Linked DNA regions of Rhinolophus ferrumequinum. The protein of the gene in region 1 purifies or fractionates together with the protein of each later gene. This does not show direct contact. Links are inferred from orthologs where the notes say so. Each region holds a gene or a part of one and is shown in the gene's direction. Other genes may lie near its edges.

Region 1 (8,091 bases):
GGAGTGCTAGACAGTATAAACAGAACTCAGCCAACTGACTACTTGATATTCACTTGGGACGGGCCCCGCCCCACAGGAGTGGTACAGACCATCACATAGCAGGGAGGTTAGGGGAGGCTTCTGATCCAGTGGCCTGTAAGCTGGGCCAGAGGGTGAAGGTGAGGGACACCGTGGTCCAGGCAGAGGGCACAGCAAGCTGCAGGCCTCGAGGCAGGAAAAGAATGAGGTGGGTTTGAGGCACCAAAAAGGCCTGTGTAGCTGGAGCACAGTAGGCAAAGAGAAATGTCATGAAGTGAGGCTGGTCGGGGACAGATAATCGCACATGGCTTCTTATGCCAAATTGTGAATTTTAGACTTGAGCTTAACCTCGCTTTGATCATTTGTGTCTCTCACTTTTCCCCCCTTCCACACACTCACAGAGAAGTGCAGACATCATAAGTGTACAGCTTGATGAATATTCCCAAACTGCACACACCTTTGTGCAGTTTTTGCTTTTGATCAGCAAAAATTAAAGTGTGAAGAACCTCATGGTTTTGTGATTGCTTCGAGAGGCTTTAAGACCCCTTAAAAATTGAATATATTACTACCAGGTGTTGCCTTCCCTTTTTTTTTTTTTAAACCGTCGTCTTATGGGAAAAACTTTTTTCCTGTAATTTGATAATTTATCGTATTTCCTGATAGTAATAGTCTCGTAATGTTCTTCATATAGGTCAGATTGAGTTGTACACGCACCTGCCCGTGATGAAACAGCTGGTCAAGCAGCTAGAACAGTGGGAGTTCCGAGTCTGTGGAGTTTTTCTGGTTGACTCTCAGTTTATGGTGGAGTCGTTCAAGGTTTGATGATAAATCTGTTGTTGATTTTTCAGTTCTGGGTACAAGCAGATGATAGTCTCCTTTAATCATTGTGTGATTCTGAACATTTCACAAACTATACTCCAGAATGATTCAGTATCCCTTATTATTAAATTATTATAATAATGTATTTTTAATTCATGTGATAAATTATGATATTATATAGATTTGGGGGAATTAGAAAAATGAGGCAGATAAAAGTATTTTTAATTTTCTGAGGAACTTTTGTCTCGTTTGTGAACTATCTAAAACTGTATTTCTCATTTAGTAGCTCTTAAGGAATTTTCAATGGAAAGGTTAAAGATACAGTCTGAAATGAGATTTGTGATCACTGTAGATTAAATCTACATCTTCCTTCCTTATCCTCACCTTTGAAAACCAAGGGTCAACCATCTGATGAGTGGACCGTCTTATGTTTAGGATTAGCGTGTCTTTGACTTTTCTTCCAGGGAGGAGCAGAAGCCTCTCTTTTATACAGAGACCCGGGAGCTTTGTGGGCACCAGTTGATTCATCTTCCCTTTCCTGTTTCCTCCTTCAGTTTATTTCTGGCATCTTGGCAGCGCTGAGCGCTATGATCTCTCTAGAAATTCCACAAGTTAACATCATGACAAAAATGGATCTGCTGAGTAAGAAAGCGAAAAAAGAAATTGAGAAGTGAGTTCATGTCTTCCATTGTCATCAGATCTCAATTGCAGAGATGAATCTTCTAAACTTTGTTTACATGTGACGTTCTGTCAGTCTATAAATCCAATTTCCTGATTTATTCTTCCTTTAATTCATCATCTCTTTTTCACTTTTAAAGGTTTCTAGATCCAGACATGTATTCTTTATTAGATGATTCTACAAGTGACTTAAGAAGCAAAAAATTCAAAAAATTGACTAAAGCTATATGTGGACTGGTAAGCTTCTTAAGTTGTTGTTGTCGTTTTTCAATGCCCTGGTTAGTAGGTGTTTACTGGTTTCTAGTCAGTGGCCACCATTATGGAAAGCATGATCCAACCCAATTTCCTTGCAAAGGGGAGGTGGTGGTGAGAGGCTGTGGGCTAGCCAGTCAGCAGTTTAATTTAGAAGCAGTTATTGGCAGTAGCCAAAAACTTAACTGACATGTCTATTATTCCAAGCCATATTGGGAGCTCAGAACTGCCCTTTTGAAATTTCCAGTGGTTGTTGAATTCAGATAAATGCTTATTAAATAGTGTCTAGTTAAGTAATAAGTTGAGTGTTCTAAGTAGGTCCGAGGTCAGAAAAACATTGATTTGCTGTCATTCTGTCACTGTCTATCTCTACCCCCTCACACACAAATGGTTTAATCAGGAGTATAAATGGTTATAAAACGCAAATATAAGTTGAAAATTAAGTATTTTGCACAATTTCTGAATGACCCTTTCTGAAATCCCCAATTTGTAGATTGACGACTACAGCATGGTTCGATTTTTGCCATACGATCAGTCAGATGAAGAAAGCATGAATATTGTATTACAGCATATTGATTTTGCCATTCAGTATGGAGAAGACTTGGAATTTAAAGAACCAAAGGTAATTTCTGGTTTAGGGTGTTTATTGGCTTTTGGTAGAAATGTTTGTCGGCACTCCCTGGCATCCTATATAACCCCAGGAACTCAATTTTTGTCTCAGTGGCAGCAATAACCTGGGCTTTTCTGGGTGATCTCTGAAACTGACACCTGAGCTCAACGAGCAGTATCACTTTTACTCTACTTTTTTTTGAGGCAATGTTACTGAGTTATGTTTCTTTATACTCAGAGCTTGGGGTATATGCAAAGAGGAAGTAAAATCCAATTGAACTTGGACTGCTGTCACATGTGTCAGTGGAAAGACTATTAATGGTTATTGTCAATAGGGCACAACTTAGTTGAGAATCGGCGTGAGTAAACTCTGTGAAAAATGCTCCTAATGAGAGAGAAGCACTTACTACCACATATCTGGAAATAGTCTATCAGTCATGCCTTTGTTACTATTAACTATTACCTGTGAGTAACATCTGGAGTGGTGCTGGGTGTTTGCTCCTTACAGAGCATTACCTGAAAAATATATAAACACATACTAGGTCTGAGGGGAAATGAATGTATGTTCTATTTTGTGTTTCCTTTGTGTCAGGAACATGAAGATGAGTCTTCTAGGTTTGATGAATATTTTCAAGAACACCAGAATGAATAAAGAGTTTACTAAAAAGTGACTATGTATGTGAAGAGCTTGTGGCTGAAACATCAGAACATTCTTCTCAAAGGATGCAATACAAGAAAGCTACTTATTTTAATGAAAAAAAATAATACTTGGCTGTTTATCAGCAGCATGCTTGAATCAGGTTCTTAGTTATTCTTGAAACTACTGCTGTTTAAAGTGGAGTCTTGTACTAATATTTTTACAGCACAATTTAGATTTTAAAAGTTGAAATTGAAATGACTGCACATAGATTTGCATATAATATAAATCAGCACCTGTGGTACAATTAAGACCTGTAAACAGTTTGATTTTTGTTATTTTTGAACCTTTTTTTGGAGGGACTGGAATTGTTTTAACAAAATATACATATGTGTGTCTAGAGGAAAAAAGTTGGAAGAATATAGATAAGGCCATTGTTTATCCGTATCTTCCAGTTTTGCTACATTGAAAATGTATTATTTGTATAATTAAAAAATGAAAAGTAACTATGTTTTAAGATAAATATGTATATAAATAAAAGAAATAGCACTGACCTTTCATTACAGTCTTGTTCTCCAGTCAGAAATTGAAATACTCAGCCAGGGCAAATTTTTGAATGAGTAAATTTCCCCAAGTAGGGGAGCTTGACATGGTTCTTCCGACAAATTTACCAGTGGGTGCCAGGCACTGGGAAGCATGCAAGGCAGACAAAACCTTACTCTCATGGAGTTGACATGTTGGGCCCTTGAGACTAACCATAAACAAGGAAGCCTCTGATAAGGAATAGGAAGAAAACTAATGAAATGGAGAGTGACTAACAGGCTGCTTTGGGCTCATTGTCAAGGCTCTTCCTAAAAGGTGCTGTTTGGCCAGAGGCCTAAATGAGAAATCCATTATGGGAACATGGGGCAAAGTCCCCATGAGGGACTGGGAGAAGAAATGGCCCCAAGCAGCAGTGAACTTGGCTTTTATCATGAGTTGCTTTCCAGTAATAGTTTAAAAATTCCTGAGTCTTTAGTATATTCCAGGCATGTAAGTTCTAAGCACTTTGCATGCAATTCATTTCACCTTCACGAAACTGAGGTAAGTACTGTTATCTCCATTTTTCAGATGAGGAAACTGACACACAGGTAAATTAACTTGCCCAAAATTACACAGCCAATAAATGTTGGAGTTGGGAATCTAACTCAGAGTCAGTTTCTCAACCATCACACAGAATTACAGTACAGAATAATGCACAATTCCCTCTCACTGTGCTCTCCCCATTTTTAAAACCAGTGGTTTGGTCATACCCCTGAAAAACCAGTTATCCACTGCAAACGAAGCTCAGAATGAAAAAGGCTTCAGGGAACTAATACGTGAAATATCGCTATAAACCGCAAAAGCAGTTGAAGAGAATGAAATTTTTGAAATGACAACAACAAAAAAGTTGGGTTCATTCATTCACTGAACAAGTATGCTTACCGTATACCATCACTGTTTTAGACACGGGGTACACAGCAGTGAACAAAACGGACGAAATCACTGCCTTTTTGTTTACATGGATGGGGAGATCGCGGGAAATAAACACCGAAAGTAAACTAAATAAAAGAATCATAAGATTCTTTTAAAAGGGAAAGAAGGATGAGGCAGGGAGTCCAGTGGGGTTGAATTTAAAATAGTATGACAGGGAATGCTTCACTGAAAAGGGGCTCTTTGAAGAAACAAAGGCGAGCACAGATATGTAGCCCCCAAACACACTGCCCGCTCCACGTCTCACGCCTGCGCAACACTCGGTGTTCGGCCCCCCCCCCCCCCCCCCCGGCCCTTTCGGCTCTGCGCAGCCGCAGCAGCCAGCGGCCAGACAGCAAGGCCGGAAGCGCGCGTCCTTCCTCACCGCCCCTTCCGGCTCACTTCCGCCTACCCCGCCCGGGCTGCCAGGCCGGAAGCCCAGCGCTCTAACCCGTTCCTGCTCTTCATCTGGGTTGAAACTCGGGGGCCGCCAAGATGCCGGTAAGGAGCCCGAGTCAGGGGTGTGGGGAGACGGCGAGAACTGGGGAGAGCGGCGGACATCGTGCGTGAGCTGAGAGAAGTGGGCCAAGCTGGGCAGAGGGAGCGGGGGACAGAACGGGAGAGGGGAGGGGGCCAGTTCTTGTAGGATTGGGGCGGCCTGATAGTGTCGGCCAGGAGGGGCGGAGGCGCGGCAGAGTGGGCGTGCAGAGGGGGTTGCTTCAGCCCTTCCGGCCCCCTTCTCTCCAATCCCAACCCTGTCTTTGCCCCTTCTGCAAGCCCCCAACTCCGGCAGTGTCCCCAAAACGTCAACAGAGCCGCGAGGGCTTCGCTTTTTAGTTTTCATTTTTCAAGTCCAGGGTCTGGCTTCTCCTTTTTTCTGAAGACCCACTTCCTCCGTCCCAGGGGGTGGGTCCCTTCCGCTGCTTGTCATTTGTCAGACCCACTTCCCTGTTGCGCCGGCAGTGGCGGCCACCAGAGCCAACTCGAGGTATGCGCCCGGTTTCCAAATGTTTCTATTTTCTTGTGCATCAGAGTAGGAGAAAAATTGGTGGTGTAGTTTCTCTTCATTTCTGGCAGCCAGTCTGCGAGGTAGTTTATCGCCCTTACAGCCTCCATTTTGCAGATTAGGTAAACAGAGGTTCAACAACATGTGATTATTCAGACATTACTGAGCACGGACTGCATGCTGAGCACTGTTACAACAGTGAATAAAGCCAACAAATCCCTGCTTTTAAGCAGTTTACATTTTAATGGGGAAGCAGACACATGTAAATAAAATAAAGGAGATCGTTTCTAATAATGACAAATGCTATGAAGGAAATAGATGGGTAACAAGACAGTAGCTGGTGAAAGGCAGGGTGCAGGCTGCTTTAGATGAAGCATACGTGTGATAAAAAGAAGCAGGCCATCGTCATAAATACTTTATGAAGCATATAGCTACCATTTGACTCGATATGTGCCAGGCAGGCCCTGAGCTACACACGTTATATAAATTATCCCATTTAATCCTTACAGTGAGCCTATGAGGTAGATATATTATTGGTTTCACATTTTGCAGAGGAGGGAGGAAACCGAGGCTCAGAGAAGTTAAGTAATTTCCCTAAGGTTGCACACTAGTGCAAAGACTTTGATAAAGTCCGATTTTAAACCAGGACGCTAAAGCCCTTTGCTCATTCCATTTGCACATAGAGCACCCTGGACTTCCCCTTTGTTACTTATTTAATATCTGTCTTCTCTGTTAGCCAAAAGTTCTTTAAAAATGGAGACCGTACTGGTCTTGTATACCATTATATCACCGTGCCTTACACTTAGAAGGTGCTTAGTAATCATTTGGTGACTGACTGAATGAATATATGAATGGGGCCCATGTCTTCTTTAAAAAGTTAGACATCTTATAAAAGGCAGAACGAGGACTCATATACAAGTTGCTCTCACAAATATGATTTTTCCCCCCTCTCATCCTTTAATTCACACCTACCCATTGAAAGCAGTATATCTCTTCATTTTGCAAATTTGGAAACCAGCTAAGAGAAGAAAAATGGTATCTCGATCAAAGACAGAAAGCCAGAAAATGGCAGCGCTGAAAAGCCAGTGCTTGGGCTCTGGCTTAACAACAGCTGGGGGGTGGGTACCTCTGATCTATATGGTGTTTGCCTATTTCTGTGATGTAAATACTCCCATCAGTTACCAGTGTGATGTCACTGAACGTGGAATTGAAAGAAATGCACAGTAGTACCACATTATATAGTATTTCCGCCCTAAAGATACAAAAGGCATGAATAACTTCAAGCTCACAGACAACAGTATTTTTTAATAGGAAGTAATGAATTTTGAGTATTTATTATCTTTGTTTTTAATGTAATTTATTGCAAATTTATATAAGTTTATTTTTAATAACAGCTGTGTTCAACAACCAGCTTGGCTCAAAAATTCCTAGAAATTTAACAGTTGGTTTTCATGAGCCAGTAAGAGCCAGCTCCAGCACACAGCTGCCACCATCTCTTCTCCCTCTTCCTCTAGTTAATCTGGGGTGGGTTACTCTTTTTTTTTTCCCTTTCGGAGAAAAACACTTCTCTGCCCTGCTGACGTTTGCTCTCTTTCTGTTTCTGTATTACCTGGCGTGCCAATACAGGCTTACCACTCTTCTCTCATGGACCCCGACACCAAGCTGATTGGAAACATGGCACTGTTGCCTATCAGAAGTCAGTTCAAAGGACCCGCCCCTAGAGAGAGTAAGTCGAAACCCCTTTCTGTTATTTTCAGATTTTGGTATGAAACATCGAACAACCCTCTGACATCAAATCAGGGAAATTCTTAGCTCAGGCCTCTGTTTCACATTGCTCCTGTATTTTCTGTTTGCTTGGTGGATATTGCTTTTTAGGCCTTTCAAGATATAGGTATATGTTGTATCTAATAGGAAACTGTTATTGCTGCTGATTTCTCCAGGACATTTTGTTGAGGAGAAAGAAAATGTGCTTAATTCTCTACACAGTTTTCTGTCGTCACTGTCAGTTCTTACAAACTAGTGCTGCTACTTGTAAAGAATGCCATGTCCCTACCCCTTATCTGTCATTAAGCTGGAAAAACACAAAACATATTTTAACCTCTTCCCCATCTAAATCTACTTTCTTGATCGATTTTTCAGGATCTCCATATTTAGCAACACCTCGATCTTAAATCTGAAGCGTCCTATGTAACATTACTCATTTCTTCTCTTGCTTTTCTGAATTACATAATTCTGCTTTCTTTCTTGGTACTCCTTTTTAAATCATTTTTTACTGTTCAGAAAGCCCCATTCTTTTCAGACCTTGAGACTCTTCTGACACATTCTTAGATACTCTGCCAACAGTGTAATTTGTATTATATTAGACATGGTTTCCCTACATACAGAAAGGGTCTGCACTGAATTCCATTCATGGTTTCCAAGACCACGGTTTTAATTACCAATTTTGTACTGATGTCATCTCCATCCCTTTGCTAGACTATTTGACTTGACCTCTTTTTAATTTAATTTTGTTTTCAACACCAGTTGAAAGCTCAAGCTCAGTAAACTTAATAAATTTGGTGAGTCACCACAGTCTGTACTT
Region 2 (7,922 bases), on another chromosome or scaffold:
TTTGATGAAGGGAGGTGTTTATAACATTTACCTCATGGGATTGTTATGAAGAGTCAACGTGATGATGTACTGAATGCTTTGTAAGCGAAGACGTTATCAGAACTCAGTTTTCCGTGAGAACTGGGCAGGAAGTGGTTACAAATCAAACCCCAGCACTGTACGGTGGGACAGAAGACCTTAATGAGACGCACATCTCCAGATCACATCACTGGGTCCTGACTCGTAGACATAGGCTTAGGGATTGATTCCTCAGTAGAGGCATAAAGAAGCCCTCAGCCTATTTTGTTGAAGGGAAAAATGACGTGGATTTGAATCAAAAGTGGAAGGGTGCGTGAGCTTTGGACAGAGTCTTGAAGGAGGAGATGGGGTCAGTGAAGAAGAATTCTCTAGACTGAGGGGCCTGCACGAAGACCTGCCAACACAGCGGGCTGGGCACGTGCTCTGCTGTGCCCAGATGTGGCAAGGGGCATCGTGTGAGATGAGATATGAAAGGTGACTCGGGAGCAGATCACAGAGGACCTCGAATGTCATAAGCAGGGTTGGGATCAAATTCTGTAATAATAGAGAGTCTCTCTGAAGGTTTGGGGAAAGTCCCTGAAGGTTTGGGGGAAGGAGGCTGACATGATGTACACACATTCTCTGTTTTGGCAGACACCTCTCAGAGCAGCACTGCTTGCCCCAGAGAAGTCTCAGACAGGCCAAAGCCTGGAGCCAGGGTGGCTGATGGACAGATATGCAGCAGTTCAGTTAAGAGCAGCAGGAAGACAAAAAGCAGGTCTACAGACAAGGGGAGTGGTGGGATGGGGTGAACAGGACGTGGCAGCTGAGTGGTACAGGACACGAGGCCAGAGAGGAGGGGGCGTCCAGGCCAGTGATCGCCCGCCATGGGGGAGGCAGAAACAGAGGACTGTTGATCTGAAGATGGTCAGGTCAACTTACCCACCTTGTGGTTTCGGGTCTGTTACCACCTCTGACACAGTCACCACGGTCTGGCCAATCGGCTGCAGCTGGGACCATTTTCTACCACTCCTGCCAAGACCCCTGGGAGGTCCATTGAGTGCAGTGACAGGCCCTTCCTCTTAAAGGAGAATGCCAGCTACTTTCAAAGGCATGCGGCACTCATTTTTGGGGACTCCTTTCTCTATTTGCATCCTATGGCAACAGAGAACACCCAGATCGCGCTTGGCTCCAGCTCTGTGATTCAAGATTCACAGAGCGGCTGGGTGGGCCGTTTCTGAAGACAGCCTTTCGTTTTGTGTGTTCTTTTTCCTTTTTGGCCCAGCGCAACCAGTTAAGTGCAGGACATTAGGATCACATTGTCCCAGCGCTCACGGACTAAACCCCATTCCATGGACGATCTCCAAGCCCTGATTATTTTATAAAGTAGTCCTCATAGGCATCAAAATGCATCAAAAGGTGTTTACTGAAAGTTCGGCTGAGAGTGGTGCTGGGTTGTGCAGCACTAAGGATAGTAGCTAAGAAAAAGTCACCTCGATGGCCAGAAGAGATGCTGGGTCCTGTACAGGAAGTGTTCTGGTTTCCACGTTTCTGCCTGTTGGGAGGGGAGAGTAGACGGCCATTGTTGGGTAGAAGCACAGTAAAGAGATGCCTTGCTAAAGGAAGCCAACTCAAATGTGCCTCTTGTTCCAAGGAGGGAGAATTTTGCGCAATATATGGGAGGGGGCCAAGCTCCCTTAGCAATGTAATTAATGGCGACTGTACTTACCGTGCTTCTCTCTGGCTGTTCTGCTCTAAGGCACTTGTCAGTGATGCCACCAGTCTCTGATCGATAGGAGTTTACGACCTAAGAAGAATATCACAGAAGAATACGTTGTACCATACAGAAGAACAGCACAAAAAGACAAAAAACGGTAAGAACACTAACACAGGAATGATACATAATATCCACTTGTATTTGCTTAAAATATTCAAGATACCAGATAAAAAAAGCACGTAATAGCAAGTGTGATGTGTAATTGAGAGGTTTAAAGATTGCCTAAAGACTTTCATTTGTTCAATAGCTATTCCTTGAGTGGCTACAGAGAGGCCAGGCAGTGCCCGATGAAGATAAAAAATGTATCCAACAGTTGTACTCTTAGACAGTTCTCATCTTAGTAGACAGTTCTACGCTTCTCCTGGGGTACTGGGGTGATGGAAGTGTGACCATTATGATGCCACCCAATAAGTACAAACGTGGAAGGATTCGCTGGCTCTCTCGGAGCAGAGGAGAGTGACAGTCTTTTGTGAAACTGAGGGACACCTTCACAGAGGTGGCAAAACTCCAGCAGGGGGAAGAGGAAGGTTTGTTTAAACGACAGTTCCAAGCAGAGGCTAGAGGAGTGAAAGGGCATAGAATGAGTGGGAGAAAATGGTTTAAGTAGGAAAATTATGAGTGAGGCAGAAACTATTGGCTGTCATTCCCCTTCCTGCTGATCAAACCCGACTCCAGTCAGGTACTGGCAGCCATATGCTTCAGAGGACACAAGACCCCCGTCCAGCCCGAGGGGGTCACCCTTCATAGTCTAAGCTGATCACAGTACCTCGGTTCCCTTTACCAATGGCTGCTGGTGTTATGAGGTGAACTGTCCCCGAGAAAGACATGTTAAAATCCTAAAACCTGGTATAATAAATGGGATCTGATCTGGTCTTTCTAGGCCTTTGCAGCTGTATTAAATTAAGATGAGGTCATTAAGGTAGCCCTCAATCCAGTAGGACTAGTATCCTTATAAGAAGAGGAGAACGCCACATGAATGCAGACATATGAGCTGGGAGAATAGCCTGTGACGTTGGAAACTGAGATCGGAGCGATGCACCTACCCGCCAACGAACGACAAGGATTATGGACAACCTGCAGAACCTGGGAGAGAGGCATTGTCCCCTGGGGCCTGCAGAGAGGGCAGGGCCCTGCGCACACCTTGATTTTGGCCTTCTACTCTCCAGACCTCTGAGATAGTAAGTGCCATAGTTTAAAGCCGCCCAGTTTGTAGGTAATTGTTACAATTGTTACATTTGCTTTGTTACAGCAGCCCCTATTGGAGCCAGGTGAATGGAGCCAGGTGAATAAGCTAGGGCCTTCTGGGAAAGTTTCCTTCCTCTCTCTCTTAGAAAGGAATCTGACGGGGCATTTCTCCCCCATTTTTGCCCATTGCAGTTGGTGTATGGAGCAGCTGTTGCAGCCATCTCACATCGCCAAGGGGGTAAGTCTGAGGACAACGGCCAATGTGCAAACCTGGTAGAACAAAACGCACAGGCCCACACTGATGACACCTGTGGTTGAGTTACCCTGGAATTTCTGGATTTCCGATCCTATGACATAATAACATTTGCTCATTCCTTGGGCTACCTTAAGTTTTCTGTTACCTGCCTTTGAAAACATCTTAACTGATACCTCTAAAGTTAGGGGTGTCCAGAGGAAGGAATGGAAGTCAGGAAATCTTTTATTTCCTACCAGCTTCTGACCATGGCCAGCACTTCCAATACGTCGTAGGCAGTGGGGACACTCCCCCAAAGGGACTTTCTTTATAATTAGCCCGTCCCAAGTCCCTATAAAGGCTTCTTACCTGGTGAAGTGGGCTGGGCCACCTATGAGTCTCGAGGTCCTCCTGGCCTTTGTACATGTTTCCCACCCAGAGACACGCAACTGCCCCACACTGTCCACCAGGGAGCTCTTCTCTACCCACTCACTGCGGTTCAGCTCAGAGCCCATGGCTTTGGGAAGGCTCCACTGACTGCCATGTCAGGGTTAGGGGCTCTGTGAGTGGTTTTCTGGGTACCCTGGGCTTGGCCATCCAGGCATCACCACACTAGTGCAACTGCCTGTAGACTGTTGCTTTCTCTCACTAGATTCTGACACGTTGAGTATGTATCCTGCTCACCATTTCATGCCCCATCTAACACAAGGCCTTTACTTCTTCTAGGGAAAAAAAAACCACAATGCTTTTAATACTACATAGTTCAGTTACATGAAATGACATCTCCAGAAAGCTCCTACAGGTTAACGTCAAGAATTTATGGAAAAAAAGAATTTACGAGAGGACACACAGCAGGAAGCAAGTGGGACTTTTAGTACCTTTATGACGTGGTAGGTGCTTGACCACTCTGGTCCCTGGTCTCAGTAAGAACTTTGGGATGATTCCATCTTTGATACTTGAAAAGATTTTCCCCGAATATAATGACCTTGATGTGGTGTTAATTCAATCTAAGGACATTCATTCCTTCATGCTGGCCATGCCTTTGTTTTGGATATTTCCTTCTGTTACATAACTTCTGCAGTGTTCTGCTAGGTGTAAGTCTACCAGAGTGTCTTTTCTCTGTATGGCGACGTTTATTCATTCATTCAACAAACATTTGGGTGCTTACCATGTATGCACCAAGTCCCCTGCATACCAGTGCAGTCCTGGGTCACCAATGGTAAGCAAACACGAGCTCTAACCTAGGGGAGCCTATAGTCCAGTGAGGGGACAGACGACAAATAAATAGCGAAGGAAAGCAATAGATTCCTGAGATACAGAGTAAGGTGCGAGGGGACAACTTCCCCGAGGTGACATTCGAGCCCAGACTTACAGGATGAGAAGGAACCAGGGAGACTTACAGATGAGGAGCCAGGCCTCGGAAACCCGGTCACGTTCACGGTAAGTCAGTTAAAAATAGTCCCCAATCTCTTCAAGGTTGGGCGTGTGGGCAAGGAAGCCGCGCCGCCAGCACTAAAGATGGCGGGGCGGGGGCGGGGCCTGGAGTGCCCGCGCCGTGATTGGCCGGATGGAGTGGCGTCACGTGGGCGGCCGCCGAGCATCCGGGCTCCCGCGGCGGCGCTGCGGAGGCTCCCGGGAGCCGGCTGCGCGGGGCAAGCGCGGCGAGCGGACGGCGGCGGGGCCTCCGGGGCCGTCGCGTGGGCCTAGCGGCGCGCGTGCCGAGCATGGCGGGCTGCCTGCCTCCCTGCGTGGTGGACTGCGGCACCGGGTAAGAGCCGCTGGCGCCCAGCCCGCTCCCGCCCCGGCGCCAGGCACCTGCCCCGCGCCCGCCCTCGCTCACCTGGAGGCCGAGCTGCGCCCGCGCGGCTCCCCGTCCCCGCCCCGCTCCTCTAGAGCCGGCAGCGCCGCGCGCCCCGGCCCCTCACCTTGACCGGGGACAGTCGAGGCAGACGTCCCCCGGCTCGCTCGCCTCCCGCACCGCCCTCGCGCCGGGCGGGCGCCCCCTGGCCTCAGCCTCCCGGGGAGGCCGGCGTCCGGCGGGTCGCTGCAGGCGCTGCACGTCGTGTGCCTCCCGCCCACCTCCCGGGGCCCTCGCCGGGCCCCCGCGTGCGTGCCGTGTCCGCCGGCTGAGGGTTCTCGCCCACCGACTTGGGGAGCTTTTCCCATCGTGACCAACTTGACACCTTTTTTGCAGCGCACTCTGCTCTCTCCCGGGACTGAATGGCTCACCCAGGCGACGCCCTCGCTTTAGTCGGTGTAGATTTGCCTTTTCGCTTAAAAAGGTTAAAAAAAAGGGTGGGGGGGGGGAGGGCCCCATTTTGAAACACAGAAAGTTTACATTGGGGAAAGCCTATTTGTGGTGTAGTTTTATTGTCCCTTTACTGTCTGGGTGTGATTTGCTTCTTTTGACGTTAAGATGTGCAGAAGAGACCGTTGGAAATGCCCTGTGCTTGCCGTGGTCCACGCTTAGCTGGTCTTGCGAAGGTGCTTACGGAGCCCGTCTCGCCGGTCGTTTGGAAATGCAAGGTTGCCTGCTTGCTTTCTAGATGAAGTACTGGTTAAAATAGCCTAGAAGTGATGTAGCCTCTTAAAGAGTTTTCAAGACGGGGTTGTAATCACTTCTGTCACAAAATGTTCCATGGCACGTTGCTCTCAGCCTTGATTCTTTTCTATGGAGAAACGCAGTTGGTTTGGTTTCCTTGACAACCTTGTGGGGGTGTCTTCTTTAGTTTGCTGCAGTCCATCTCCTACTGATTCTTTTTTCCTTTTGCTGCTGAAGCCACCGGTAGTGGTTACAGGCTGGAAAAAACACCCACAAAAATAAACTGCCTCTTTGCCTCTATACTAAGCTTTTTGAAATACGCACTGTACCAGAAGTCGTTTTGCTACCCAACATACAAGCCCAAATCAGCGCTGGTATTAACACCCCCAATTGTTAACTCCCTTACGCATCCCCTCCCACAAGCTAGTGTTCACCCCACACCCACTTGAGGTCTGCTTGTGTCAAGACTGAAGGCAACAGGTAAAAGTATTTTTCATTCCCAAAATGATTTTTGCTTTTGTATTTCTGGTCTTGTCAAACTGTTGGAATACAAGGCATGTCTTGGCGATAGGAACACAATAATGCTCACAGAGTTTGTCACCTTTAATATTAGTAAGCCGAGGGCCTAACTCATCATTCTTGCTATAAATATCCAAAATGGGGTGCCCAGTTTTGACCTTCAGAGGTACGTGATAAGAGTAACTTTGCTCTGTCCGAGGTGTAACTTCAGTATGTCATTGTTTTATGGCCCCAAGTCATGTTCTTGTCTCCAAGCTGCCATAGGCTTTGGTGTCAACTTAGAAACAGTGGCACAGAATCTTCCCAGTGGGTCTCACGTGGACATACTCTGTCATGGCAACAACTGGTCACTCATGAAGTCCTAGTGTCCAGTGTATGGCCAGAAGGAGCAGCCTGGAAGAGCCTTAATTTACTGAGAGCATATAAGTAGTTCTTACATTTCCCGGAGAGTTAAAATGGTTTTTGGATTGACTTTTACCTCAAAATAGGATAAAAAGGGGTGACATGCAGATAAAAGCAACCACAGCCAAGGAGAAGAGTGGGCCTGGGGAGTCCCCGAAGCTGTGGGCCGGTGGCTGCTGTAGTTTAGCCTCACATTTGGCCTTCGTCTTCCTGTCTGACAAAATTGTAAGAGCCATCAGCAGTTGTGTAATTCCTGTCATCAGGAAGGGAGAAAAAGGCCCGTTACTCTGGTGAAAGAGCTTTGTGTAGTACTGAATTCTAGAATAAAAATTCACACTGAACTATACATGGTAGACACTAATGATTTATTGGACAGCGTGCTAAAGAGTATTTGTTAGAGCAAAATACATTCCATCCTGGTAGCCTAGCATCCTCTAATAAACCCTGAGACCAGCTCTAACCTACTGAAAAGCTGCAAGAAGTGTACCAAAAAACTATTTGTTCATCCAGTTTCACCAACTATTAACATTTGCTTTATCATTTTCTGTATATCTATATGTATTATTATTTTTCTGAACTGTTTAAGTGTGGTTTTATACCAAAATACTTCAGTGTATACTTTCTGAGAACAAAGAGCTCTCACACAATCACAGGCGAAAGATCGAAATCAGATTTGACATCGTGCGGTAGTGTTCTCTTGTACGCAGTCTGGACTGACACAAATGGCCCCATTTATGTCTTACGGATTCTCACCTCTGCTCCCTCATCTAGCACCACAGACTGTGTTTGCTTGTCATCACGTCTTTGTAGTCTCATTTAACTGGACCAGTTCCTTAGCCTTTTTCTGTCTTTCAAGACATTGACATTTTTGGCAGCCAGTTGTTATGGATAATGTCCCTCAATTTAGGCTCATCGGTGCTTCCTTGTGATAGATATAGGTTATGCATTTTTGTCAGGAATGCCACAGAAGTGACATCAATCCTCCTTAGTGCATCCCGTCAGAAGGCATGTTCTCCCCTCAGTTTTATTGAGATGTAATTGACATGGAACATTGTGTAAGTTTAAGGTATACAATGTGTTGATTTGATACATTTATATGCAAAATGGTTACACATAGTGTCAAGCTAACACTTCCATCACGACACATAATTACTGGTTCTTTTTTGTGGTGAGAACATTTAAGATCTAATCTCTTAGTGACTTTCAAGTACAGTGTTGTTCTCTATAATCACTCTGCTGTCTCCCCAGAACCCCTTCATCTGATCAGA

What was found. Proteins that work in one complex are often made in the same cells at the same time.
Region 2: the proteins of ARPC3 (region 1) and ACTR3B purify together in Homo sapiens (affinity purification with mass spectrometry; 6 studies listed by BioGRID and IntAct, counting the BioPlex papers as one, with this or other methods). This does not show direct contact. The link is inferred for Rhinolophus ferrumequinum from reciprocal best matches to the Homo sapiens genes ARPC3 and ACTR3B.

Annotation. Positions count from the first base shown.
Region 1 is NC_046308.1:6,137,073-6,145,163, reverse strand, and holds the start of ARPC3 (actin-related protein 2/3 complex subunit 3), read left to right. Parts: upstream 1-4,866; 5' UTR 4,867-4,999; coding exon 5,000-5,005; intron 5,006-7,136; coding exon 7,137-7,236; intron 7,237-8,091. Other genes in the region: GPN3 (GPN-loop GTPase 3), read left to right, coding at 710-834, 1,392-1,507, 1,656-1,752, 2,261-2,389, 2,969-3,028. UniProt on the Homo sapiens protein: Component of the Arp2/3 complex, a multiprotein complex that mediates actin polymerization upon stimulation by nucleation-promoting factor (NPF).
Region 2 is NC_046309.1:2,856,128-2,864,049, reverse strand, and holds the start of ACTR3B (actin-related protein 3B), read left to right. Parts: upstream 1-4,811; 5' UTR 4,812-4,915; coding exon 4,916-4,959; intron 4,960-7,922. UniProt on the Homo sapiens protein: Plays a role in the organization of the actin cytoskeleton.